Rattus norvegicus: one gene and its partners. The protein of the gene in region 1 purifies or fractionates together with the protein of each later gene. This does not show direct contact. Links are inferred from orthologs where the notes say so. Each region holds a gene or a part of one and is shown on either strand. Other genes may lie near its edges.

Region 1 (3,892 bases):
TCTGGTTCTGCAGCAGGTAAGACTAAAGTTTAGGGTGAAGTGGGCTAGAACTCTAATCCTGGCTTTCTCTTTACTAAGTGGCTAAATCCTCTATCTCTTCTGCCAGATTGCTTACCTGAAATACAGCATGAAGTTCTACTAAAACAGCAGGCTTCAGTAGGTGGTGCTGTTTTTGTGACTGCTAGTTCAGGTGAGAGTTCCAAAGACCTCTGCTGGGAGGTGGTACATGGCTCAAGGTCAGTTAGCATCAGAACTTTGGCTTCCCATCATAGTATTGTTAGAATGCCCAGGGCTGGGTTAAATTCCTTGCCTGGCATCTGGTTGGTCACCTGTATACATTTGTTAGCATCTCATTGTTTAGGGCAGAAGTCATCAATCCAAATCCCATGGAGTAGGTATACCCAGAAGGGGGCTATTGCCCATTTGCAGGAGGAGCTGCTGTTATCATACTGGGTGGTGCCTGTAGCACAATTTGGGCAGATTGTGGGATGACAGTAAAGTTTCTATGCAATATGATTTTATTACCTTGGAAACAGCCTGAACCAAAAGATAGTTAAAAATGGCCAAAAATACTTAAAAATAATAGTCATTTGTTCCTTACATGAATACTTTCAGATGGACATTAAATTACTGAACACATGGAATCCCAGTAAGGCAGGTGAACACCCAGTGCTGCATGTGTGGGCACTCCTTGGTAGCAGTGGGATGACTCTTCCCAGTTGTTTGGAGGTTGTTCCAGAATAGGTAACAGGAAGACCAGGCTGCCTGTGTTGTCATTGCTCATTCTGTTGGCCCTCTGTGATGGAGGCTGACACAGAACCCTGGCCCTTGTTGACATCACTGATGCACACCCACTGTCCATCCACCGACTCTTTCCACAGGGTCACCTGCAAGTTAGCACACAAAAGTTACGGGTCGGGGCTGGGGATTTAGCTCAGTGGTAGAGCGCTTACCTAGGAAGCGCAAGGCCCTGGGTTTGGTCCCCAGCTCCGAAAAAAAAGAACCAAAAAAAAAAAAAAAAAGTTACGGGTCTGTGCCTGTTCTGCTGCTCTTTAGCCTCATCCTCAGTACAAACACAGAGGCCAAGGGAAAAAGCATTTACCTCCACTACACTTGCTCAAAATGCACCCACAGGGAATGCATTAACTAGAGTTGACAGTGAGAGAGGAAGTATGTGGCTGAGAGCAGGCCAGGTTAGGCCATCTTTGTCACCAAGTGTTAAAAGCACAAATTAGATAGGACACAACTATTAGATGCAGGACCATTGCAGAGCAAACAGCTAAAAAGGTCTGTCCCTGCCTGTGGCTCCTCAGAAGGACATATGCCTTGTGCAGCTCACCTGTACCTGTTAACAGAAGTCGGATCCTTACTTCATACATAGGGTGAGAAATGGCCTGAGAAGGCAGGCTGTTCAAGAATGCAAACTTAAATTATCAGGTCCTGACTCTGGTACAAAGAAATAAAGGAGGATAACTATCTTTTGAGGTCGGGCCTGCAAGTCTGTCCTGGAATTACTGCAGAGCAGGAAAGGCTACCTGCAGAGGGTGAGAAGAAATGTTTGTACTCATCTCTTAGCAATGGACAATGTTGCTTACATGTTAGCTTAAAAAAGGGAAGCCATAATGGTAAATGAGATAAGCCAGCCAGAAAGTAAGAGTGGGTAAGTGAAGGAAGCTAGTTAATAGGCACCGAGTTTGTTTTACAAGCTTAAGAGTTCTGAAGATCAGTTGCACGGTGTCAACACATAATACTTAAAGTCTAATTTACCAGTATGAGAAAATATGGAGGTGTTCCTTAGTCTCCTTTTTCTGCCCTTTGTTGGTCTTTCCAGTGGCCACTTGGCTCATAGCAGAAGCAGGAGGTGGAGACATAGAAGGTGGTAAAAGTTCCTGGAACTCTCCTGATGCTTAGGAAAGAGCCCCAGGCTCTCCTTGCAGGTCAGGCTATACTGCAGCTATGCAACCAAGTTCTTTTCTGTGTCAAACAGGACACAGTACCTCAGAGGGTTGAAGAGACTGAGATATGATTCAGATCTACCTCTATGATGGAACCAGTTACTGTACATGGCCAGGAGGTGAAAAACCATTAGGGCCTTATATGCTTGCCCCCCTGGAAATGGGGTATACCTTATTGTCTCCACCTGACACAGCCAGGATATTTGCTGTGATGGACCAGCTCACGTGCCACACGACATCATTGAACTTGTGTAGGAGTTTAGGTGACCACATATTGCCTGAGGCGTCATCACAAGTCCAAATAAACACTCGCCCATCCTAGGGAAAGAAACACATCAGGAGATGGGGGTACAAGCATTCTCCCCAGGGGGCAGGTATCTGTATTGGCAGAGAAGGAGAGCAGCCACACTAAAGAGTCTGTTTCAGATCCTTTCACCCTGAACACATCTTACAAATAGGCCGGGTCTGGATTCTGTGGTTTCAGAGATGAATCCAGGGTACTGCTATAGATACTCTGTTTTTCTTCCTGGCTGTCTAGTGTTTCTCACATGAACACGGTTAACCATCTTACAAACCATACTCAGAGATGGAGCAAACAAGAATGTCCAATAAAATCACTAATGGACCTGAAGACCTTGCCTCTTATTTGTCATTCCTGTGATGACAGGAAATAAGGGAAGGGTTGACCCAAGGCACTAAGTCTGGGCACCTCCATTCCTCTCCTTCGTAAGGGTCAGGAAGAACCAAAACTTGGCTCTAAGCTTGGCACTAGTTCTTAAGCTACATCAGACTCATGTACACTGGTCCTACACGGTCCTTCTGTTCTTTGCCCAGGTCTAAAAGATGCCTGCTACGTATCTTTCACTCTAGGCAGACTGAAAGGAACTCACTCAAGGCTGAAACGGGATGTTCTCATGGTGTGGGGCTGACCTGAGAGCAGCTGGCAATGGTGCTGGTGGGCAAGCCAATGGAGGGGGCCCAGGCAACGTCTCGAACCCAGTCACTGTGTGCCTCTAGCTTTTGCTCCTCCTTCCACTGGCCATCCTCCTCTTCCCTGCAGAGGAAACCAGAGCAGGAATACAGTGGCTAGCAGGCAGATATTCCCAACTTGGGTAAAGGGTTCAGTTTTCGAGTTTCATCAATGAGTCCAATGGGTAGAATTCTAAGCTGCACGTAAGGTCTCCAGTAAATGCCCTTTCATCCATAGCTCCAAAGTTTGGGGAATACTAAAATGCTTAGAAAAAGAAGTCCTAACAGACTTGAAAACAGATGGTTATTGATAGGGAGAAAGAAAGGTGATCTTGCTTCTTGTACACTGTAGCTGAGCGATGACAGGCAGAAAAGAAGTGTCCCTTTGAAGAAATGTCCACAAAACTCACTGACCTCCACAACTTGATGAGATTGTCACAGCCACCTGATGCAAACTTCTTGATGTAATTGGGTTTCTGTCCGGATGGTTGGTCTATAAGGCTTCCAGGCACAACAGCTGGGGCCCAACTGACAGCATTACAGCCAATCTGCAGAGGGGAACCTTTGGTGAGGCTATGCATAGCAATAAATTTTTTTTCCCCATTCATTCCTGGTGATTTCCCTCCAGTTGTCAGGACTTTGATTACAGCACACAGATAATGTGATGAGTAAGAATCAGGCACTGATGTAATACTAGCATGGAAGGCAGGATAAGGGGACATGGGACAGTTAGATTCCTTAAGGCCACTGGCCAACCAACCTAGCCAAATCCATGTACTCCAGATTCAGTAAGAGATCCCATCTCAAAATGTGAAGAGCAACAAGGGAAAGACATTGCCAACCTTGGGCATATATATACACCTATGCACACCCATACTACTAACAAGTACACACAACACATACACAGTAGGGGTTAGCCTTAAAGGCAAATTATTAGACCAACAGACTACTCAGTAAAAAATCTTAAG
Region 2 (2,564 bases), on another chromosome or scaffold:
CAGTGTACCACATGCAGAGGGTAATCTCTAATGTTTCCCACACCTCACATCACTCCTGCTGGCCTGCTCTCTCAGACTCATGGCCTCTTTTAATTGTTGACTCAAATACAGACACAACCCGCTCAGTCCATACAACTGTTATGTGCGTGTATATTATTCCAGGGCTGTAAGACAAGACCCTACTATGCTGTCCAGGCTGACTGTGAACTCAGGGTCCAGTGCTGGGATGACAGGTATATGGCTCCAAACCTGGCTCAGTCTCACAACCCTCAAGACAGTAATTGATGTGCACACGAGGCCGCGCTGGAGAGACTGCTGCCTCGGTGGACCAAGGGAAGCTGGAGAAGGGCAGCAACACAGAAACAAGGGCAACTTCGAGTGGAAGAGGAGGAGGCAATACCTTACAGCTGAAAAGGGACATTAGGGTTGCACCTCCTTTTACATCATGCACCCACATAAAGCATGGAAAACCCACTGCCGCAGATAAAACAGACCTCAAGTTGATTAAGAAAAGACCTAAGTTTTTTGGCCTCAATATTTTTTTAATAAGCAAACATTTATACAAATTTTAGAAAACTATTTCTACAAATGTCACATCTGTCCTTGGACATAATACTCATAATTTGCTTTTAGAACAAACTCGAAGTAAGAGTTGGACTTGAGGCTCCCCAGCTGCTCGGCCTGCAGCAGGTCCTTCACCTCTGGTAGATACTCGCTGAGCTGGACGCCTGCAAACAAAAGACATGGTCACTCTGGTCCTGAGATGCCCACGCTGCCCACGCTGTGGCCTCCTCGTCCGGAGCCCTCAGGAGGATGGCAGCTTCTCCAGAGCCCTGCAGGTTCCTATTGGTCAGAGCAGCTTCTCCAGAGGAAATCTTCAGTAGAATCCAAAATTTTCCTTTTTTTCTACAGTTTAAGATATGTCTTTAATGTGTAAGTTTTCAACTAATAGTCATTTCTATGTTGTCCTATTGGGGGACTAATTTAATAGAAACACCATCACAAAGCTGGCCACAGTACTGCAAAGATGTTAAGACTCAACCAGGGAGCCTGTCTTACCAGCACTCAGGATGCTGAAGGAGGAGGATCCCTTGAACCTGAACGCACGCACGCACGCACGCACGCACGCCTACCCACCCACCCAGCATTTTACTATCAGGGTCTCTTTGTTGTCGCTTTGGTTTTTTGAGGCAGGGTTTCTCTGTGTGACAGCCCTGGCAGTCCTGGTCTTGCTCTGTAGACCAGGCTGCTCTTGTACTCACTGAGATTCACTGCTGCTACCTCCTGAGTGCTGGGGTTGAAGGTGAGTACCAGCACATCAGGCCTGGTTTCCTGGTTTTAAATGGGGTACCCCTGAGAGGAGGCACTTGTCACGTTAAAGTGTTCTTGATGTATCCAGCATCGTCTTTTTTTGTATTTGTTATAAGTTGAACAATTCAATATCATCGAAACCCAAAAAGCTTACTGAGCAACTGTGTACCAGGCAGGGGAGGGCATGTTTTATGCAGATTAAATGACACACCTTGCACCATGTGTAGCATGGGGATCGTCTGACTGCCATCCTCAGTCATTCTGCAGGGTCGCTGGAGTCAGGCTCCATTCACTCACTGGATGTTTCAAATACAGCATCTCTGTATCTACCAAGACCTGCCAGACGCAGGCCAGCTGGTCTGCGCACTGCCAGGACCTGGTACCCTGGTGTTGATCTAATAATTCTGTAGGAATCACATCTGCTTCTCTGTGGCCTGCTCTGTCTTCTGTGCCTTCCTGACATTCTGCATTAAGCCCCCAGTATATAAAAGAAAGGGAGGTCTTTTGAGAATCATCTTTCCCAAAGCAGTACAGACGTGGGCCTTTTCCAGCAAATATGATTTTCTCACTGCTTTAGACACAGACATACTCAGTCCTTAGTTTTATATCTTTCTCAAAATATTTATTTATTTCATGTATATGAGTACACTGTCACTGTCTTCAGACACCAGAAGAGGGCATTGGATCCCATTACAGATGGGTGTGAGCCACCATGTGGGCGCTGGGAATCAAATCCAGCTTCTCAGGAACAACAGCAAATGCTCCTATCTGTTTAGCCATCTCTCCAGCCCCAATTTCTAAATTATATTTTCTTTAAGATATATTTATTTAGTCATTTAGAAGTATTTTATATGTATGACTGTTCTGCCTGCAAGTATGAACGTACACCTCATGTGTGCCTGGTACTGAACAGGCAAGGACTTCAGACTCCCCAAGACCAGAGTTACAGACAGCAGGAAGTTACCCTGTGGGGGCTGGGATGGAACCAGAGCTCTTAACCGAAGAACCAGCTCCTACCTACCCTTGCCCTCCTCGTGTGTGTATGAAGGTCGGAGCACGACTTCTAGGAGTTGACTGTTTCCTTCCACCACGTGGGGATGAACTCACGTCCTCAGGCCTGGCGGAAGTCTCTACTGCTGAGATGGCCCAGCAGTCATGTGTGAGCTGGTGACTGTGCCATGTGTGAGCTGGTGACTGTGCCATGTGTGAGCTGGTGACTGTGCCATGTGTGAGCTGGTGACTGTGCCATGTGT
Region 3 (3,500 bases), on another chromosome or scaffold:
AGTGGTCAGAGGCAACTTTGTTTCACTGTTCTCAGAGGACTACCTTAAACGTTTCACTTGGTTTAGTAACTTTATAACTGTGTTTTAGGAGGTGTAAACTCTTCTAGACTTTAAATTAACATTACAAAACGCATGATTATGTATGTTTCTTACTTTTGGAATTGGCTCTGGATGTGGTAGTGGTGGCTTAAGGAGGTGTCAAGGACTAGGGAGCATCGGGTAGTCTGTCAGACTGGCAATGGGGTTGTTGCTTGTCCCTGACAATGTGGGGTGGGATGTGGAGAGCTGAAGTCTTTGTATTTAAATGATTTGAAATCACATTTAGTCTTTTTATTTTCAGAGTTTTATTGATTGTAGTCAGGAGTGTGAGACTATAGGCCTTATGTTCCTCTTCTGTTTTCTTTTTTAGCACAAATTACAGAAAAGACCTACCCTGCCTCCTTTATAAGCAGCATCTCCTGCAGGAAAGACTCCACCATGCAGCCACCACCTCAGGCAGTCCCGTCTGGTGTGGCTGGCCCACCCCCAGCTGGGAATCCTCGAAGCTCGTTCTGGGCCAACAGCCCTTACAGGAAGCCAGCCAATAATAATGCACCAGTGGCTCCCATAACACGCCCACTGCAGCCAGTAACGGATCCGTTTGCTTTTAACAGACAGACTCTTCAAAACACACCAGTGGGCAGTTCATCCAAAAGCAGCCCACCTAATTTGCCTGGCCCAGCCCTCCCTGTTTTTTCTCAGTGGCCTGGTTTGCCTGTGCCTCCCACAAATGCTGGGGATAGCTCCACAGGACTTCATGAGCCTCTGCCAGGAACTCTGTCACAGCCTAGAGCAGACCCCAGTCTATTTCCTCCTGCATCTACCCCTTCTTCATTGCCTGGGCTGGAGGTGAACAGGAGTGCTGAGGTTGATTCCAGCTCAGGACCTGAAGTCCAGATGCTGCCACATCCACCTCACTACATTCCAGGAGTGGGTCCTGAGCAGCCTCACGGAGGCCATCTGAATGACAGTGGGGCTGGGCCTGACCAATCCATGAATAGGCACGCCCCACATGATGGTGCTGTGGCCCATGCAGCATCTCCTTTCTTCCCTCAGCCCCAGATGCCAGGTCAGTGGGGGCCTGTGCATGGAGGCCCTCCGCCCTCCTATCATCATCACTCACCCTGCCTGGAGGGCCCTGTTCAGGACATGGGGCCCCAGGCTGCCAGCTTGCCCCATTTCCCCTCTCCATCTAGTCTACACGAGGGACCTGGCCATGAGTCCCGTGTCCCACAAACGTTTACTCCAGCATCCTTGGCCAGTGGTGAAGGAAATGAGATAGTCCACCAGCAAAGTAAAAATTACCCATCGAGTAGCTTCCCCCCTAAACACAGTTTTGAGCAGAATTCCAGAGTTGGGAATATGTGGGCAAGCGCGGAGTTCAGGCAGAATCCAGGAGTTAATAAAGAGCATCTGCTAGACCCTGCCCATGTGAATCCCTTCACTCAGGGAAACAGCCCTGAGAACCAGGTGCACCATCCCCCAGTGGCCGCAACTAACCATGCCCTGCAAGAAGCAGCCTCCGGAGCGCTCTCAATGTTTTTTCAAGGGGAGGAGACAGAGAACGAGGAAAATCTCTCATCTGAAAAAGCAGGCCTTGATGACAGATTAGACTCGGGTAGCTTCTCTTCTACCTCCAGACTGGGCCATCCACCACTCCCTGGAGCTGGTGGTGTCTACCAGGCCGCTCAGGAAGGAGATGTGCAACCTTATTTTTCTCAGTTTGTGGGCATCCGTCATGACAAACAGACCACTATGACTCCTGCTAATGATGCGTGGGGTGATATTCCGGGTGCTGGGACCCACTGTGCTAGTGGGCCACAGTGTGAGAATGTAGAGAACCTAGAATTTGTTCAGAATCAAGAAGTTTTGCCACGTGAGACCGTGAATGTGGATCCCTTTTCCCCGAGTGATCAGTTTCGATATGGGCCCCTTCCTGGGCCAGCTGCCTCCAGGCCTGTTACTTCGGGCCTCACTAGAGGAGGAGGGCTAAATCTTGAGGCCCCTGACATGCCACTGCACCCTACACGACCTGACAGTGTGTCATCCAGCTACAGCAACCATAGTCACAGAAGTCCTCCTGGGTCAGCCAGACCCCAAGAATTGGTGGGCACATTCATTCAGCAAGAAGTTGGAAAACTCGAAGATGATACGTCAGGGAGTTTTTTTAAGCAAATTGATTCTTCTCCGGTTGGAGGTGAAACAGATGAGATGACCAGGAGTCAAAATTACTGCAGCAGCCTGTCCCAGCCTTCAACTCCAAGCCCTCCAAAACCTACGGGAGTCTTCCAGACAAGTGCAAATAGTTCTTTTGAGCCAGTAAAATCCCACTTGGTTGGAGTGAAACCAGTTGAAGCAGATCGTGCCAACATGGTGGTTGAAGTGAGAGGGACCCAGAACTGCCAGAAGCACGGGGCCGCTGTTCTACCACCTGATGCCACCCCAGGAAACCTGGAACAGCCACCAGACAACATGGAGACCCTGTGTGCACCTCAGGCCTGCCCTTTGCCTCTTAGCACCACTGGAGAGGCTGGGCAACTGGTTTCACACACAGCAGGGCCACCCTTGGATACTGTGCGCCCCATGCCTGACAAGAGGTCCTCAGCCAGGGCCCAGGGGCCTGTGAAATGTGAGAGCCCAGCCACAACTCTGTGGGCACAAAACGAACTGCCAGATTTTGGGGGCAATGTCCTTCTAGCCCCTGCTGCCCCTGCACTTTATGTTCCTGTAAAACCAAAACCTTCAGAGGTTGTTCATCATCCAGAAAAGGGCATGTCTGGACAGCAGTCATGGAAATCAGGGTCTGTGCCCCCTTTGCAGAACCAAGACCCTCCTGGTGCTTCTGAGAACCTTGAGAACCCTCCCAAGGTAGGAGAAGAGGAGGCCCTTCCATTGCAGGCAAGTTCTGGTTATGCGAGTTTGCTGTCCTCACCACCCACTGAATCTTTACACAATCAACCTGTCCTGATTGCCCAGCCTGATCAAAGCTATAATTTGGCTCAGCCCATTAATTTTTCTGTGTCCTTACCGAATCCTAATGAGAAGAATCAGTGCTGGGGAGATGCTGTGGTGGGGGAGAAATCCATGGTGAGCACCCGGGCTCTTGGTGCTGACCATGAAGAACATGCTGCCTTGTCTGCAATTCCAGCCAGTACTGTCACTGGCTCGTCTTTGCCTAACAGTGTCACCCAGAACTGTGCCCCTCGAGGTTCTGGGTCTTCTGAAATGATTGCTAGCCAGCCTGCCAGTTGGTTGGTTCAACAGCTGTCCCCTCAGATTCCTCAAAGTCAGCACCCCAATGCAGAGAAGGGTCCTTCTGAGTTTGTTAATAGCCCTGCTAATGGAAGTGTGATGCTAGCTCCACCTGCAAACAGTGCTGTGATACCTAACAGTAATAAGGGGTATCACTCTAGAAACCCGGAAGAAGCCATCGGTGCCCTAGACTTCACATTGAGTAGAAC
Region 4 (2,352 bases), on another chromosome or scaffold:
AAGCAAACTCCAAACCATTCAATACCTTAAATACTAGAAGTGAGATTTCTGACGCCACTCCCCCCTTCTTCCACCTCGTCACTGCTACCTCACACTTCTAGATGTCTGCACCTTTAAATCAGCAAAATTAGACGAACCTTCTCAGAAAGAAGGCACTTTACACAGTAGATAAAGATATTCTTTGGATATTAGGGATTAATGCTGTATCCAGCAGAATTGGAGAAATCTTGTCCATTATAAATCATATTGTATGACATGCTTTCATAAGTCTAAGAAACAACTTTCATACTGTAATTTTTTTAATTGGCATTTACTTTATAAATTTTTGAATTTGGTTACATATTTCACATCTTGATAACAATTTATTAAACATTTAAAATTATGGGAAACTTTTTTTTAATTATTGGAATCTTATAAAAAGGAAATAGAGAGGAACTAATAATAGCTACTCTCTCCTAATTTAAGAGTTCAGTATTTACTAGGTGCTTGTCCAAGTCTATAGGTACCTCTGACACTCACTGCTTCATTTCCTATGCGTCTGCCTCTGTGTGTGATATGTGTGTGTGTGTGTATATATATATATATGTATGTATATACACATACATGTGTGTGATATGTGTGTGTATATATACATGTGTGTGATATATGTCTTTATGACATGTAATCTCTGCTTCTTTCTCAAACTTGGCTAACGAGACACATGCGGGCTTTTCTTCTTCCGTCCTGTATTACAGCTAATGGTCGCAGAGAAGAACGGAACAATCCGGTTTTATGATCTAATGGCCCAGCAGGCAATTTTATCTCTTCAGTCAGAACAGACACCATTAATGTCAGCACACTGGTGCTTGAAAAACACCTTCAAAGTTGGTGCTGTTGCAGGAAATGATTGGATTATCTGGGATATCACTCGGTCCAGGTAGTTATGTAGTATGTCTGTCTGTTCTGTTACATAAATATGTTGTCAAATGACCCATTTAGCCATTCTTGTAGACTCCATGTGCAATGAAAACAAGTGTCTCCTGTAGAAAAAGAAGAGATGCTGTCCCTGGAGAGCCCAGAGCGGCTCTAAGCCGTGTCCATTGCTCGCTATTTCCAATTGAGCGCTTGCTTGGAATTTTGTTACAGCTTAAATATATTGGGCTCCAAAAAGAAAACACCTTAAAAACCTTCATTGAAGTTCATCTACTTGAATCTAACACATATTTTGTACAACGTAAACTCTTATTTTTTAGTTATCCTCAAGAGACAAGACCTGTCCACATGGATCGCGCACACTCGTTTAGGTAATGTGCGGTTTCTGCTGCGGTTGTGTGAATCCTTGATTTAGTGTATTCCACGGCCAGGATGACTTCCCTGCCCTCCTCTTTACATAGGACTGTGGGGGATTGGTTTTCCTCTTTTGTCTCTCTGTTGCTTTATAGGGGTTATTTTCTTTTCCCTACTAAGTAGTTGCTTTGTCTTTTGCTTTAGGTAAGCAGGAAATTTATTTTTCAACCACTTAGGAAATGTTTGTAATTCACAGAAACCATGTAGCCAGTCTACCAGTCTACCTCAAGGTCAGGATGGCTTGTGCTGCCTGCCTCCTCCCCTGTGGTGCTCTGTACAAGTGCGCATAGACCTATGTGTGCACACCAAGATCACTAATATGTCTTGAACATGCCAGTTACATGTTATTTTGTTATGTTTTCGTTTTTTATTTGCATTAACATATTTTGGTTTTTGTCATTTTATTCCATTGTATTATCATTAGGCAGCCTTAAATGACAGGAAAAGCAAAAAAAGCTAAGAACAGTGAGACATTTGTAATTTGCTGGTTTTTTTGTTTTATTTTTAAATCATGTCTGAAATATCGCTAGTAAAAATTACCAGGACTTCGTTATTATTAAGAATGAAATATAATCAGTATAGTATTAAAATCCCATAGATTGGGACTACAGAGATGGCTCAGTGGTTAAAGGCCCTGGTTGTTCTTCTAGATGACCCAGGTTCAATTTCCACCACTTGCATGGCAGCTCATGCCTGTCTGTAACTCCAGTTTCAGGGCTTCTAACCCCCTCACACAGACACACATGCAGGCCAAACACCAGTGAATATGAAATAAATTATATATTTATATATTTCCATAGATTATTATGAAATAATCCAAAGTTCAGAGATATGATCAAATATTTTTGAAACCAGTGACTTATGTATGGTTTGTGAGAACTGCAGAGGAGGCCTTCTCATCTCAGCATGTGTTAGCAGCTCTTCTCCTTAAAGCCTCGGCTGAGTGGGGAGACCTGACTTCAAAGCTCCTACCCTGCCCCGCCCTGGGGAGTGCAGACCGGTAGACCCTGGGAGCTCACTGACCTG
Region 5 (4,094 bases), on another chromosome or scaffold:
CTAGCAACCACAAGGCCCTGGGTTCGGTTCCCAGCTCCGGAAAAAAAAGAAAAAAAAAAATGAAAGAGCAAAAATCTGAGTGTGGTGGTCTTCTTTGGTTTAATTCGTTGTCGTTGTTGTTGTTTGACACCAGAGTGTCTTTATGGAGCCCAGGCTGGCCTGGAACATGTTATGTAGACCAAGGTGAGCTCCAGCTTGCAGCAATCTACCTCTTTCTCCTGAGTGTTTGGATTGCAGGGAACATACCACTGCACCTGGCTCTGAACTCATGTAGTTAGGTGCATGGTGTTTGCGTATACCTCATGCACACCCCATGTACCTCAAGACAAGTTCTGGATTACTTATGCCTAAAACAGTAAACTTATTGTACTATATTTGTGCTGGCTAGTTCTATGTCAGCATGACACAAGCTGTGGTCCTCTGAGAGGAGGGAGCCTTAATTAAGATGATGCCTACAGAAGATCAGGCTGCAAGCAGTCAAGCTGGTAGGGCATTTTTTGAATCAGTGATTGGCCGGGGAGGGCTTCTTTCACTTTGCCACTCCTGGGCTAGAGGCCTCTGTAAGAAAGTAGACTGAGCTGACTGATTGGTGGTGATGCAAACTTTAATCCCCACACTTGGAAGGCAGAGGAAATCAGATCTCTGAGTTCCAGGCCAGCCTGATCTACACATTGAGTTCCAGGATAGCCAGGGCTACACAAAGAAACCCTATCTAAAAAAAAAGAAAAAAAGTCAAAAAGCAAAGCAAAGGAAGTAGAAAGAAATAAAGGAAATTGAGCAAGTCATGAGGAGCACGTCAGTAAGCTGCACTGACACTGACCCTGCATCATCTCCTACCTCCTGGATATTAGTTCCCACCTCTGCACCTCTCACTGGACTGTGACTCAGGATATGTAAGCAAATAGACCCTTTCCTCCCAAGGTGCTTTTATCACAACAGTGCTAATGCTGAGGTAGTATTCTCTAGGGAAAATTATAAACGCCTGTATACATGTTCAAAATCAGTTCTTTAGTTCTTAATATTTTGTGCTTTGCTTGGTTGAATCCAAAGATATAGAACGTGGAATTTGGAGGAAGAATGAGGTAATGTTTACTGGAGTCGTTGTTGGCCAGATTGTGGTGGTGCCAGGGTCAAAAGTGCTCTCTCTATATTTGTGGAAGTTTGCGGTTAAGGAAGCCCTTTTAGTTCCTTAATTTGTAAAGCTAATTGTGTGTTTGGTTTCCCACTTCTTCATTGTGACCTTTTTTCCCTTGTAGCTGCACTGTCCAAGGGACTTCTTTGTTCTTTCTCCTTAGCGCTTGATGGGCGGCATTATGGCCCCTAAAGACATAATGACAAATACTCACGCCAAGTCCATCCTCAACTCAATGAACTCCCTCAGGAAGAGCAATACCCTCTGTGACGTGACCTTGAGAGTGGAGCAGAAAGACTTCCCTGCCCACCGGATTGTGCTGGCTGCCTGCAGCGATTATTTCTGTGCCATGTTCACTAGTGAGGTAAATGCGAGTCTTTGCTATGTAAGTCAAACTCACATTGTAACTTTGCAGTCCTCCTCTTTCAAGGGACAAAATAGCATGCGTTGGTGATCCAGCTATGACATTGGTAGCCAAGTGGTCACCAGGGTTAATCTTGGGGTTCTGTCTGGGCAGCTCTTTCTTCACTGTCCTGTGTGTGTAAGGGGCTGCTCAATCAAAGGGGATGTTTCCAACACACCATTCTTTGGTCAAAAGTATAGGAGTGTCAGAACTTCCAGACGAGTGCTCAATAAATAAAATATAAATCTGAAACCAGATATAGTGGCTCACACTTAAGGTCCTGACAGCAGGAAGATGGCCATAAATTTGAGGCCATTCTGAGCTACAGAATAACACCCATATAAAAGCATTCAACAATGAAAAAAAATAGTCTGGTAAACCAGTGAACTTATGTAATGTGTTAGTTAATAGGTAGGTTCTGAGTAAGACATGTGTTGGCTTTCTGCTTTAAATCATCAATGATTGTAGAAAATGAGTATTTATGCTACTGGTGCAGATTTCAGGATGACTTCAGATGAGGGGAAGATGGGGTTTAATGAGTGACTGTGCAGTATTGACTTAGCTTGATGTGGTAGACATGTCTGTAATGCCAGCAATTGGGGGGCAGAAACAGGATCAGGGGTTTCTCACCATGGGGCCGGCCTTGAACTCACGGTGAGACCATGTCTCCCGAAAACAAGGGCAGAGGATGCAGCTCAGCTGGTCTAATGCTTGCCCAATATACACAAAGCCACTAGGTTAAGACCATCCTTGCCTCTGTACAGAGTTTTAGGCTATTTGGGGCTATAGGAAACATTGTATCCAAAACCAAAATTACTTTTTAAAAAAAAGGGCCAGCAAGATGGTTCAGCAAGTAAAGATGCTTTCCATCAAACCTCATGGACCAGATAGGGGGAAGGAAGGAACCAACTTGGGGTGTGTGGAACCAACTTGGGGTGTGTGTGTGTGTGTGTGTGTGTGTGTGTGTGTGTGTAGACAGCAGAGCTGTCCTGGAACTCACCCTGTAGACCAGGCCAGCTTTGAACCCACAGATCCGACTGCCTCTCCCTCCCAGGTGCTGAGATTAAAGGGCTACACCACTACCTCCTGGCTTTAAAGCTTCTAAAAAGTAAAACTATTTAAACTAGTCTTTGTAAGTATTTTAGGTTTGAGGCATATGAATAAGTATTGGGTATTTAAACTTCGACATATATCTGAATTATTTCAGCATGCTGGCTTTTTGTTTGTTTGTAAGATTTAAAAAGAGTTCCGTGTATGTGCTGCATGGATTTTATGTCCATCGTATTCAAGGAGTTGCCCGTGGAGTCCATAGGGCACCAGATGCCCCAGAGCTAGAATTCCAATGGTTGTGAGTCACCTGACGTGGGTGTTACAAATGCTTGACCAGTCTCTCCAAGCCTGTGGTTTGCGTATATGTGCATCTGTTTTTTTTTTTTTTTTTTTTTTGGAGCTGGGGACCGAACCCAGGGCCTTGCGCTTCCTAGGTAAGCGCTCTACCACTGAGCTAAATCCCCAGCCCCTGTGCATCTGTTTTTGAGAAAGAATCTTAGCCTGAAATACTTCATCTCTCCGCCTCCAGTACAGAGACTATGGGTGTGAGCCATCGTGCCTGGCTTTGATAAGACTCTTTAAAAAGTATCTCTAAGCACCAGTGTTTTCTTTAGGTAGTGCCCATCACTGTGAGGCTGCAGAGGTGGCTCAGTGGTTAAGAGCACTGGCTGTTCTTCCAGAGGATCGGGGTTCCATTCCCAGCACCCACATTATGGTTCACAACTGTCTAACTTTAGTTCCAAGAGATCTGACACCCTCACACAGAGATACATGCAGACAAAACACCATTGCACATAAGGTAAAAATTTTAAAAAAAGTCCCTGTCAATGTACTGAAGAAGTAGTTGCTGGAGCCAGATAAGAGAGGGAGTGTCGTGATAATAACAGCTATATTTATGGGCCCAGTCACATTGCCATGTTGTCATTTACCCAAGGGGTAAATATGCCATTTCATTTTACAGATGAAAGGTCTCAACAAATGCCTTGCCAAGGTCACATTGCTTAGAGCACCACAGAGAGGTAGGCTCTGCCACTATAGCATATGACTGTAAAAAATAATCCTTAACTCCCATGTTCATCCATAAGGCTGGTACCACAGATCTCTAGCTTGTACTCCCCTTTATGATGTCTGCCCCAAAAACATAGCCATTTAGCTGGGTAGGGAGTGTTGACCAGTGCTGAGCATGAAGTGGACTAAGACTGCTGCTCACACAGTCCTGCTAAAGCAGCGTGTGTCCTGTCTGCTGTCAGGCTGTCTCCTGTCTTGGAGAAAGGCTGTCTACATTGTTTTTTCAACACTGGGGAATTTCTGGAATCTTGGAGGAAAAAAACTCATTTCTTCTCATACATGACTCTTCTTTCTTTCCTTCTTTCCTTCTTTCCTTTTCTAAACAGGGCTTTTCTGCGCCTGTTGTAGACCTCCCCCTGTAGACCAGGCTAGCCTTGACCTCAGAAATCCACCTGCCTCTGCCTCCGCCTCCAGAATGCTGGAATTAAAGGTGTGTGCCAC
Region 6 (4,008 bases), on another chromosome or scaffold:
CTTCTTTGGTCGTGTTATTTATATTCTTTTTACTTTGGTGGGTGGTGGTGTTCAAGGAACACACACAAATGAAGTAGGACTCCACAGCGAAGAGTTGATATACCAAGCCACCGAGTCTTCTAACAGCATTTCCCCAACCTACAACTACATCCTGGGAAGGCACCCTGGAGACCAGGAATCCTCTCCAAGGCGCTCCGCCACTCAGGAGGATAAGGGTGCCTCTCACCACGACTCCATTAGAGCTCCAGCACCCACCACTCACTGAGCTTTCCTGGATTTCCCGGACAGTTCTTCCTCAAGTCTTTGCAGGCCAACGAAGATTCCATGGGATTCGTTGAAGAGTTTTCTCAAAATTTGAGAGTAAACATCGACATCTTTCCTTATGATATAAATAAAGGGGCAGCTCGGGACCTTCTCTGATTTGTCTGCAACAAAACAGGAAAAAGGAAACAAAAACTAATTTAACATCTATCATTTTCCCCCAAAGAGAAAACACTGCAGTATTTCTAATTTTTTAGTCACAAAAACTGGCTGAGCATGGGGGGCACATGTCTACACACTCAGCAAGAGGAAGAATGAGACAGGAGGATTAAAATGAAAGAGAAGACTAGTGCATGCAATAGACCAAGCAAGCCAGGTCTATGATAAAAGAGAAGAAGAGGGGTGCTGGAGAGATGAGTCAGTGGTTAAGAGCACTGACAGCTCTTCCAGAGATCCTGAGTTCAATTCCCAGCAACCACATGGTGGCTCACAACCATCTGTAATGGGATCTGATGCCCTCTTCTGGTGTGTCTGAAGACAGCTACACTGTACTTATATATAATAAATAAATAAATAAATAAATAAATAAATAAATAAGAAGAGGAAGAGGAAGAGGAGGAAGAGGAATAAGAAGGAGGAGGAAGGGGAGGAGGAAGAAGAGGAATAAGAAGGAGGAGGAAGAGGAAGAGGAGAGTTTTTCAAGTGGAGAGCTGAGATGGGGTCCTAGTCTAAGCAATCCTTCTCCCTAAGCCTCCTGGGCATGCCCATGCTGCCCATGCCATCACTGAGCGACAGCCTACGTCCTTGGTTTTTTGAGAATGGGTTCGGCATCGTATCTCAGGCAGCCGGGAACACTCTATCCTCCGTCAACTATTCTGCACAGTAAAAATTCTACGACTGCAAGCATTGCCTGAACCCAAGAGTTTGCCTTCAGCTGGGGCAGGCAACACAGTCCGACTCATTTCTTTTTGTTGTTTGTTTGGTTGGTTGGTTTTGGTTTTTCAAGACAAGGTTTCTCTGAGTAACCCTGGCTGATCTAGAATTCATTCTGTCGATCAGGCAGGCCTTGAACTCACAGATCCACCTGCTTCTGTCTGCGGAGTACTGGGATGAAAGGTGTGCGAGTGTGCGTCACCACAGCTGAGCTATATGGCTCGTGTCTAAAGGTCCATTATAGGAAGGGTGCTGAAGAGATGGTTTGGTGACTAAGACCACTGGCTGAAATTTCATATTTTTATTCCTAACACTCAGGAAGAAAGGGCAAATAATTTCTGAGCTCAAAACCAGTGTGGTCTAGAGCCAGTTCCAGGACAGCCAGACCATCTCAAGAAACCAAAGACGACCAAACAAGACGTACACAGGCAGCTCTTCCAGCCAAGCTCTTCCAAGCTCGCATATGGCAACTCACATAAATATACAGTTCTAGTTCCTAGAGTCCAGGGATCTCTTTTGGCCTCTGCAGGCACCAAGCACGAAGTGGTGCATCAATAGGCATGCAAACAAAACTCCCATGCACAGACGACAGAATTAAAAAAAAAAAAACAAAAAAAAAACAAAAAAAACTTTGTGTTGTGTGACACACCTCAAATCCCAGCCCTCTGGACATCGAGGTTGGAAGACGTAGTTTCCGAATCCCACATATGTTGCACAAAGACAAGCCCACTAGGACTATATAGGGGTAACTTGTCTCAAAATAACAAAAAACAGTTTCAAACATAAAAAAATGTTGCCAAATGACTTCAGTTTCCTGCCCCTGATAGTCAACAAATGTACCAAGACAAAAGTGAACAAGAACTACCTACCTGTTTTGTTGAAGGAAGTTTCACATAGGAGCATCTCCCCTGGGCCCCAGTCAAAACACATTTGCTTCTTCTTGGAATTCACACCTGGAATCCACTAGTAAAACAGAAGGCATAGGAACTGTTAGCCCTAGTTAGGGCTTTCTTTTCATTCAACTTCCAAGTGTGATTGCGGACACCATAGTTCAGGCAGGCAGCCTAGATGGTATCCAACGGTTCTGTGCACATATCCAGACATATACACACACCTTAAAATATTTCTATGTAAGCGGAATAGAATACAAAGCGACAGAAACAAGTGGTCTATAGTCTCTCGTGAGAATAAATTACGCACTTATTAAGCTTTGAGCCAGAGGAAGAAGCCAACTGAGCTCTTGGAGCGACGATGTGGAGCTTACACCAAGCTCATTCTAACGCCCAAGGAGAGAAACTAGAGAAGCAGAAAGGTTAGAGAAACAAGGGATGATGCAGTGGGGCCTCCGCGGCCCGGCCAGTATTCACAGGACCCGAAGCCTAGGGACCACCACCGCCCTAACCTAGTTCCCAGTTGATCTGACATTCTGGATGGTGGCAACTGTGTCCAGAGAAAAAGCATGCGTCCCACATGTACGGAGGCAAGCCTGAAGTGACCAAAGAAACGTAACCCTCACAGTGAGACAAGCAAGCCTCTCCGGGCGTCCTTACAGTTACTGCGGGCTCGCAGTCGAGCTCCTCCATAGTGCGGTGCGCCCGCAGCAGGGACCCCTCCGCGTTGCTGCTGTTCTCAGCTCAGGCCTCCCGCTCACAGCCAGCTGCCAAAGAGGACCCCATCAGGGCGGCTTCCGAAGCGCCTGCACATCTCAACGCAACAAATCCCTTCGCCTCAGCCAAACACAGGCCTCTGCAGCTTTACACACGTCTCCTACTATTCTAACCTAGACAACACCTCAGGAAAACGTCGCCAGGGGCCACCGGTCCTCACGGAATGTTCCCACTAGATCAGGCGGCGCCATGGACAGTCCCACACTAGGCAAGAGGAAGGCCCCGGGAGATGGCGGGAGAGGAGGTGGCTGGGAGGGTGTGCGCGTGCGCAGATCCTTGCTGTCGCATCTCTTGGGATTGCAGAGCTACTCCGCCTCAGTAATCCTATTTTAGCTCTTAGCGGTAGTTGGGATCCCTCCCTCAGGGTCTGTTATTAAGTATTCTCAGTCCCTTTCTCTTACTCCGACAAGTATAACGCGCTTACTTTGGAATTGGTCGCGGGCATTGACACCCCAAAACAACAGGACTTCAACCTTTTATGTACTGGCCACTTTTCTTTCCTTAGGATTATTCTAAACCTCCTCTACCTTAAATTGTTGGGCATACATGACTTGAAAGAAGGGCACGGTGGCTTAAACCGGCAGTTGCAGCACTTGGGAAGTAGAGACAGAAATTCGGAGTTCAGAACCAGCTTTAGCTATGTAGCAAGGTTGAGCTCACTTGATGTGAGGCTAAGTGAAACCCAGCCTCAGAAAACAAACTCCCACCAGGCATTAAGGAAATAAAGAAAAATCTTTCTGTCAAATTTTTATCCAAGTCCTAATCACTGAAATCAATGATTTGGGGAGCTGGACTGATGGCTCAGTGGTTAAGCACATATGCTGTTCTTCCCGGGTAACTGGATCAATTCAAAGCACTCACATACACATGGAAAAATCCCAGGCATTCTGATGCCCTCTTCTGGCCTCTGTGGATGTGAGGCGCACATGTAGTTCACAGACATGCAGATATGCATGCAGCCAGTATACATACAATAATTTTTAAAAGACTGAATTTACTGTACAGTTAAACAAAATCTACCACATATGATCAGAGCTAAATAAACAATTAATTAAAAAAAAAAGTAAAGAGGTAGAGAGATGGCTCAGTGGTTAGGAACACTGACTGCTCTTCCAGAGGTCCTGAGTTCAATTGCCAGCAACCACAT
Region 7 (3,500 bases), on another chromosome or scaffold:
AGCTCCCCTGGGGCCCTTCAATGACTGTGCGCCCCTTCAGAGTGACGTCGACATTTTCTGGAATGTCAACAGTCTGATTGCTGGGAATGGTCTTCATTCTCACAATACATGGGGCAAAGAACAAAAAATCTTTTTTCCATAGAAGGTGTTCAGTGGGCTCTATGCCAGTTGATGGTCCAGCATGCACTATAAAATTGTAGCATCATACATGACAACCTATGTATGCAAGCGCTCCAGCAAGATGTGAAGAGCACTGTACTACAGGTAAAGCTACTGCCCAAGTGCACACACTGGACACTTCAGCTTTTAGACCCTCAAAACAATAGAACAGTTATAAAGACAAAGTATTTTCTATGAAAATGCTCAAGAAGCAAGCTATTTCAGAGCACAACTTGTTAATCACATGGAAAGCTCACATGGTTGCTGACATCCTAGAAAACACTAACATGTAAAACTGCAGTCAGTAAAATGCTATGGCAAAATGCAACCCAGGAAATAGAAGCACTTCTATTTTAGAGCACAGTAGGAGAGCGAAGGAGTCAGCGTGCTGGCTGGATAGAGCCTTGAGTACAATTCCCAACACAAGAAAGGGTTTTTTTTCATCTTTATTAAATTGGGTATTTCTTATTTACATTTCAAATGTTATTCCCTTTCCCAGTTTCCATGCCAACATCCCCCTAACCCCTCCCCTCCCCTTCTATATGGGTGTTCCCCTCCCCATCCTCCCCCCATTACCACCCTCCCCCCAAGAATCCCGTTCACTGGGGGTCCAGCCTTGGCAGGACCAAGGGCTTCCCCTTCCACTGGTACCCTTACTAAGGAAAAGGTTTTTTAAAGTTAAATTTAAAACAAAGTACTGGGGCTAGAGAGATGCCTCAGTGGTTAGGAACACTAGCTGTTCTTCTAGAATTCAATTCCCAGCAACATCACATGGTGGCTCACAACCATATATAAAGGGATCTGATGCCCTCTTCTGGCATGTATGTGTACATGCAGATAAAGCACACACGTTAAAAAAAAAAAAAAAAACCGTAAATAAACTTAAAAACTAAACAAGCAGAGCACTGAATCAAAGCACTGGGTACATGCCACCTGACGTTAAGAGGTCTGTGCAATAAACTGGAAATAGCTTCTTTGCTGGGTGGGAAGTTGAGATTGTGTCAGTCTTCTATTGATAGTGGTAATAGTTAAGAAAACTTTTTGGCTACAAGAGATTCTCCTGTTATTTTGAAGTAGCTCTGGTGAGATAAATATTTATCCCCATCTAGAATCAAACAACCCATGGAGGAGCTGTGCCAGCATTTGTATTGACAGTGTCCCATTACTGATGGGCTATATAAGTTAAAGCTCACTTAATACCACAACTCTGATTCTTTTACAAAGACGTGTTGGGGAAAGGGAGTGCTCTTACAAGGGAAGAATCTAGACAGTACTACAAAAGTAGCTAACTTTAAACAGGTTCACTCGTGTCACCTGACAGGCAGGGTAAAGGCACCTCTCTAGAGTTTAGTAGCTTAACAGAGAATTCTCAACAAGGTATTTAAGTTGAAGAGTAAATGAAAACATACAGGACGGAGTTTACAAAGAAAAAATGAAGTGTTAAGAGCTGCTTAAGCCTTGAGTCCCAAGACATGGGAGTAAATTTAAGACCAGCCTAGGCTATGCTGTTATATTCCACTGAAATTAAAACAGAAAATAAAAGCCTGAGTAAAGACTAAACACATGCCAAGCAGTAATAGCAAGTTCCAGATGAGCCAAGGCTACATACAAAGACCCTGTCTCAAAACAAAAAAACTCATGGAATCAACAATATAGACTTAATTTCCACACTAACTTCATCCAAGCCAACATAGTAAATTGCATATTTACCATTCATTTTAAGGAAGGGCTTTCTAATACATCGGAAGTGAGTGGAGGCTGCTATTCATTGCTAGTCCAGTACTCGGAATGAGGTCTTCTACAGCTCTCCCCACCCACTGTGAGTTCTGTAACAGACAAGCTGAGGAAAGCACAATGTCAGCTCTTACCAGTCGAATGAGCTGTCTATCCAACCACCTAAGCACGTCTGGCCCTTCCTCTGTCTCCGCTCTGTATATTGCCAACCTAGCCATGAGAATGGCAGCTGCTTCCTGGTCAAAAGATGCAGCAATGTTCTGGATCTGAGTTTGAGCATCTGCCCAGCTAAATAAGGAAGCACAGAAACAAAATTGAATTATATCATAATACCACAGTTAGCTTCCACACACAGCTACACTTAGAGACTATAGAACGTCACCTCAGTACTTCAAGATTCTAATACCACACGCATTAATTAGCATTACCAAAATACCACAAATAGTTGTTTATTACAATGATTTTCCTAAAAACAAAACCAAACCTTAAAACATTTTCTAAAATAACTCTAAAAGTACATATTATTTAAGATAAGTCATTTTTTATTAATCATTCCATTCATTTACAACTCAAATGATAACCCACTTCCCAGTTAACCCTCCACCAAACCCCCATCCCACGTCTGCCCTCTCCCTCCCCTTTGCCTGTTTGAGAGTGCTCTCCCACCCACACTCTCCTGTGTGGCTTGGTTGGAAGAAGTGTATCAATAGGGGTGGCTGCTGTAAGTCAAACCAGTGGCTTTCACTTCCTGTTGCCTGTGGATCTGGATCTAGAACTCTCAGTCACTTCCCCAGCACCATGTCTGCCTGTGTGCTGCCATGTTCCCTGCCATGCTGACAGTGGACTACACCTCTGAACTGTAGTAAGCCCCAATTAAATGGTCATGGTGTCTCTTCACAGCAATAAAACAATGACTAAGCCCCTTACTCTATTTTTAATTTTCTTTCACTCAACAATTTTAAAATGCTTCCAGATAGTAAGAGTAAAATATCTTCGTCTGGGGGCTAGAGAGATGGCTCAGTGGTTAAGAGCACTGATTGCTCTTCCAGAGGTCCTGAGTTCAATTCCCAGCAACCACATGGTGGCTCACAACCATCTGTAATGGGATCCAATGCCCTCTTTTCGTGTGTCTTACGACAGCTACAGTGTACTCATATATAATAAATATATAAATAATAAATAAATAAATCTTTTTTTAAAAAAAAGATATCTTAGTCTGGTAAAATATTGTTTTTTGAAGACAGGATTTCTCACTGACTATTTTACAAAACAAGCTAGGTTTAAAAGACATAAAACGCCCTTGATCACAAATGTTTATTTTCTAGTCATAAATGTAAACCCAGCTTGTGAGTATAACCAAAATAGTTTTAATATATAAATTACATCTCTGATAATAATAAAAGAAAAGGCTTACTTCCTAGCAATCGTGGTCACTCGGATGCGTCTCTGCCCACTTGAGTGCTGATACTGGGTCACGAACTGGACTGCACCTCGCCCTCCTTGGGGAATTGGAGCATTATGCTGCATGTATAGAAAGAAAGAAGTAAGAACTAAGCAAACTCTACTATGGTGATGTCACTGTATCAAAAGTAACATACTCTACCACT

What was found.
Region 2: the proteins of Sec13 (region 1) and Nup133 purify together in Homo sapiens (affinity purification with mass spectrometry; 4 studies listed by BioGRID and IntAct, counting the BioPlex papers as one, with this or other methods). This does not show direct contact. The link is inferred for Rattus norvegicus from reciprocal best matches to the Homo sapiens genes SEC13 and NUP133.
Region 3: the proteins of Sec13 (region 1) and Sec16a purify together in Homo sapiens (co-immunoprecipitation; 4 studies listed by BioGRID and IntAct, counting the BioPlex papers as one, with this or other methods). This does not show direct contact. The link is inferred for Rattus norvegicus from reciprocal best matches to the Homo sapiens genes SEC13 and SEC16A.
Region 4: the proteins of Sec13 (region 1) and Nup37 purify together in Homo sapiens (affinity purification with mass spectrometry; 5 studies listed by BioGRID and IntAct, counting the BioPlex papers as one, with this or other methods). This does not show direct contact. The link is inferred for Rattus norvegicus from reciprocal best matches to the Homo sapiens genes SEC13 and NUP37.
Region 5: the proteins of Sec13 (region 1) and Klhl12 purify together in Homo sapiens (affinity purification with mass spectrometry; 3 studies listed by BioGRID and IntAct, with this or other methods). This does not show direct contact. The link is inferred for Rattus norvegicus from reciprocal best matches to the Homo sapiens genes SEC13 and KLHL12.
Region 6: the proteins of Sec13 (region 1) and Nup85 purify together in Homo sapiens (affinity purification with mass spectrometry; 5 studies listed by BioGRID and IntAct, counting the BioPlex papers as one, with this or other methods). This does not show direct contact. The link is inferred for Rattus norvegicus from reciprocal best matches to the Homo sapiens genes SEC13 and NUP85.
Region 7: the proteins of Sec13 (region 1) and Sec23a fractionate together in Homo sapiens (co-fractionation; 3 studies listed by BioGRID and IntAct, with this or other methods). This does not show direct contact. The link is inferred for Rattus norvegicus from reciprocal best matches to the Homo sapiens genes SEC13 and SEC23A.

The regions. Positions count from the first base shown.
Region 1 is NC_086022.1:148,432,844-148,436,735, forward strand, and holds the end of Sec13 (protein SEC13 homolog), read right to left. Parts: intron 3,473-3,892; coding exon 3,339-3,472; intron 3,010-3,338; coding exon 2,886-3,009; intron 2,274-2,885; coding exon 2,127-2,273; intron 888-2,126; coding exon 774-887; 3' UTR 501-773; downstream 1-500. UniProt on the Homo sapiens protein: Functions as a component of the nuclear pore complex (NPC) and the COPII coat. At the endoplasmic reticulum, SEC13 is involved in the biogenesis of COPII-coated vesicles.
Region 2 is NC_086037.1:68,788,565-68,791,128, forward strand, and holds the end of Nup133 (nuclear pore complex protein Nup133), read right to left. Parts: intron 729-2,564; coding exon 592-728; 3' UTR 501-591; downstream 1-500. UniProt on the Homo sapiens protein: Involved in poly(A)+ RNA transport. Involved in nephrogenesis.
Region 3 is NC_086021.1:29,655,820-29,659,319, reverse strand, and holds part of Sec16a (protein transport protein Sec16A), read left to right. Parts: intron 1-409; 5' UTR 410-477; coding exon 478-3,500. UniProt on the Homo sapiens protein: Acts as a molecular scaffold that plays a key role in the organization of the endoplasmic reticulum exit sites (ERES), also known as transitional endoplasmic reticulum (tER).
Region 4 is NC_086025.1:24,485,232-24,487,583, forward strand, and holds part of Nup37 (nucleoporin Nup37), read left to right. Parts: intron 1-734; coding exon 735-916; intron 917-1,232; coding exon 1,233-1,283; intron 1,284-2,352. UniProt on the Homo sapiens protein: Component of the Nup107-160 subcomplex of the nuclear pore complex (NPC). The Nup107-160 subcomplex is required for the assembly of a functional NPC.
Region 5 is NC_086031.1:48,453,971-48,458,064, forward strand, and holds the start of Klhl12 (kelch-like protein 12), read left to right. Parts: upstream 1-1,294; 5' UTR 1,295-1,295; coding exon of another isoform or gene 1,296-1,301; coding exon 1,302-1,496; coding exon of another isoform or gene 1,497-1,517; intron 1,518-3,546; exon of another isoform or gene 3,547-3,604; intron 3,605-4,094. UniProt on the Homo sapiens protein: Substrate-specific adapter of a BCR (BTB-CUL3-RBX1) E3 ubiquitin ligase complex that acts as a negative regulator of Wnt signaling pathway and ER-Golgi transport.
Region 6 is NC_086028.1:101,304,227-101,308,234, reverse strand, and holds the start of Nup85 (nuclear pore complex protein Nup85), read right to left. Parts: upstream 2,801-4,008; 5' UTR 2,778-2,800; coding exon 2,745-2,777; intron 2,158-2,744; coding exon 2,064-2,157; intron 426-2,063; coding exon 263-425; intron 1-262. UniProt on the Homo sapiens protein: Essential component of the nuclear pore complex (NPC) that seems to be required for NPC assembly and maintenance. As part of the NPC Nup107-160 subcomplex plays a role in RNA export and in tethering NUP96/Nup98 and NUP153 to the nucleus.
Region 7 is NC_086024.1:82,409,905-82,413,404, forward strand, and holds part of Sec23a (protein transport protein Sec23A), read right to left. Parts: intron 3,415-3,500; coding exon 3,308-3,414; intron 2,182-3,307; coding exon 2,028-2,181; intron 1-2,027.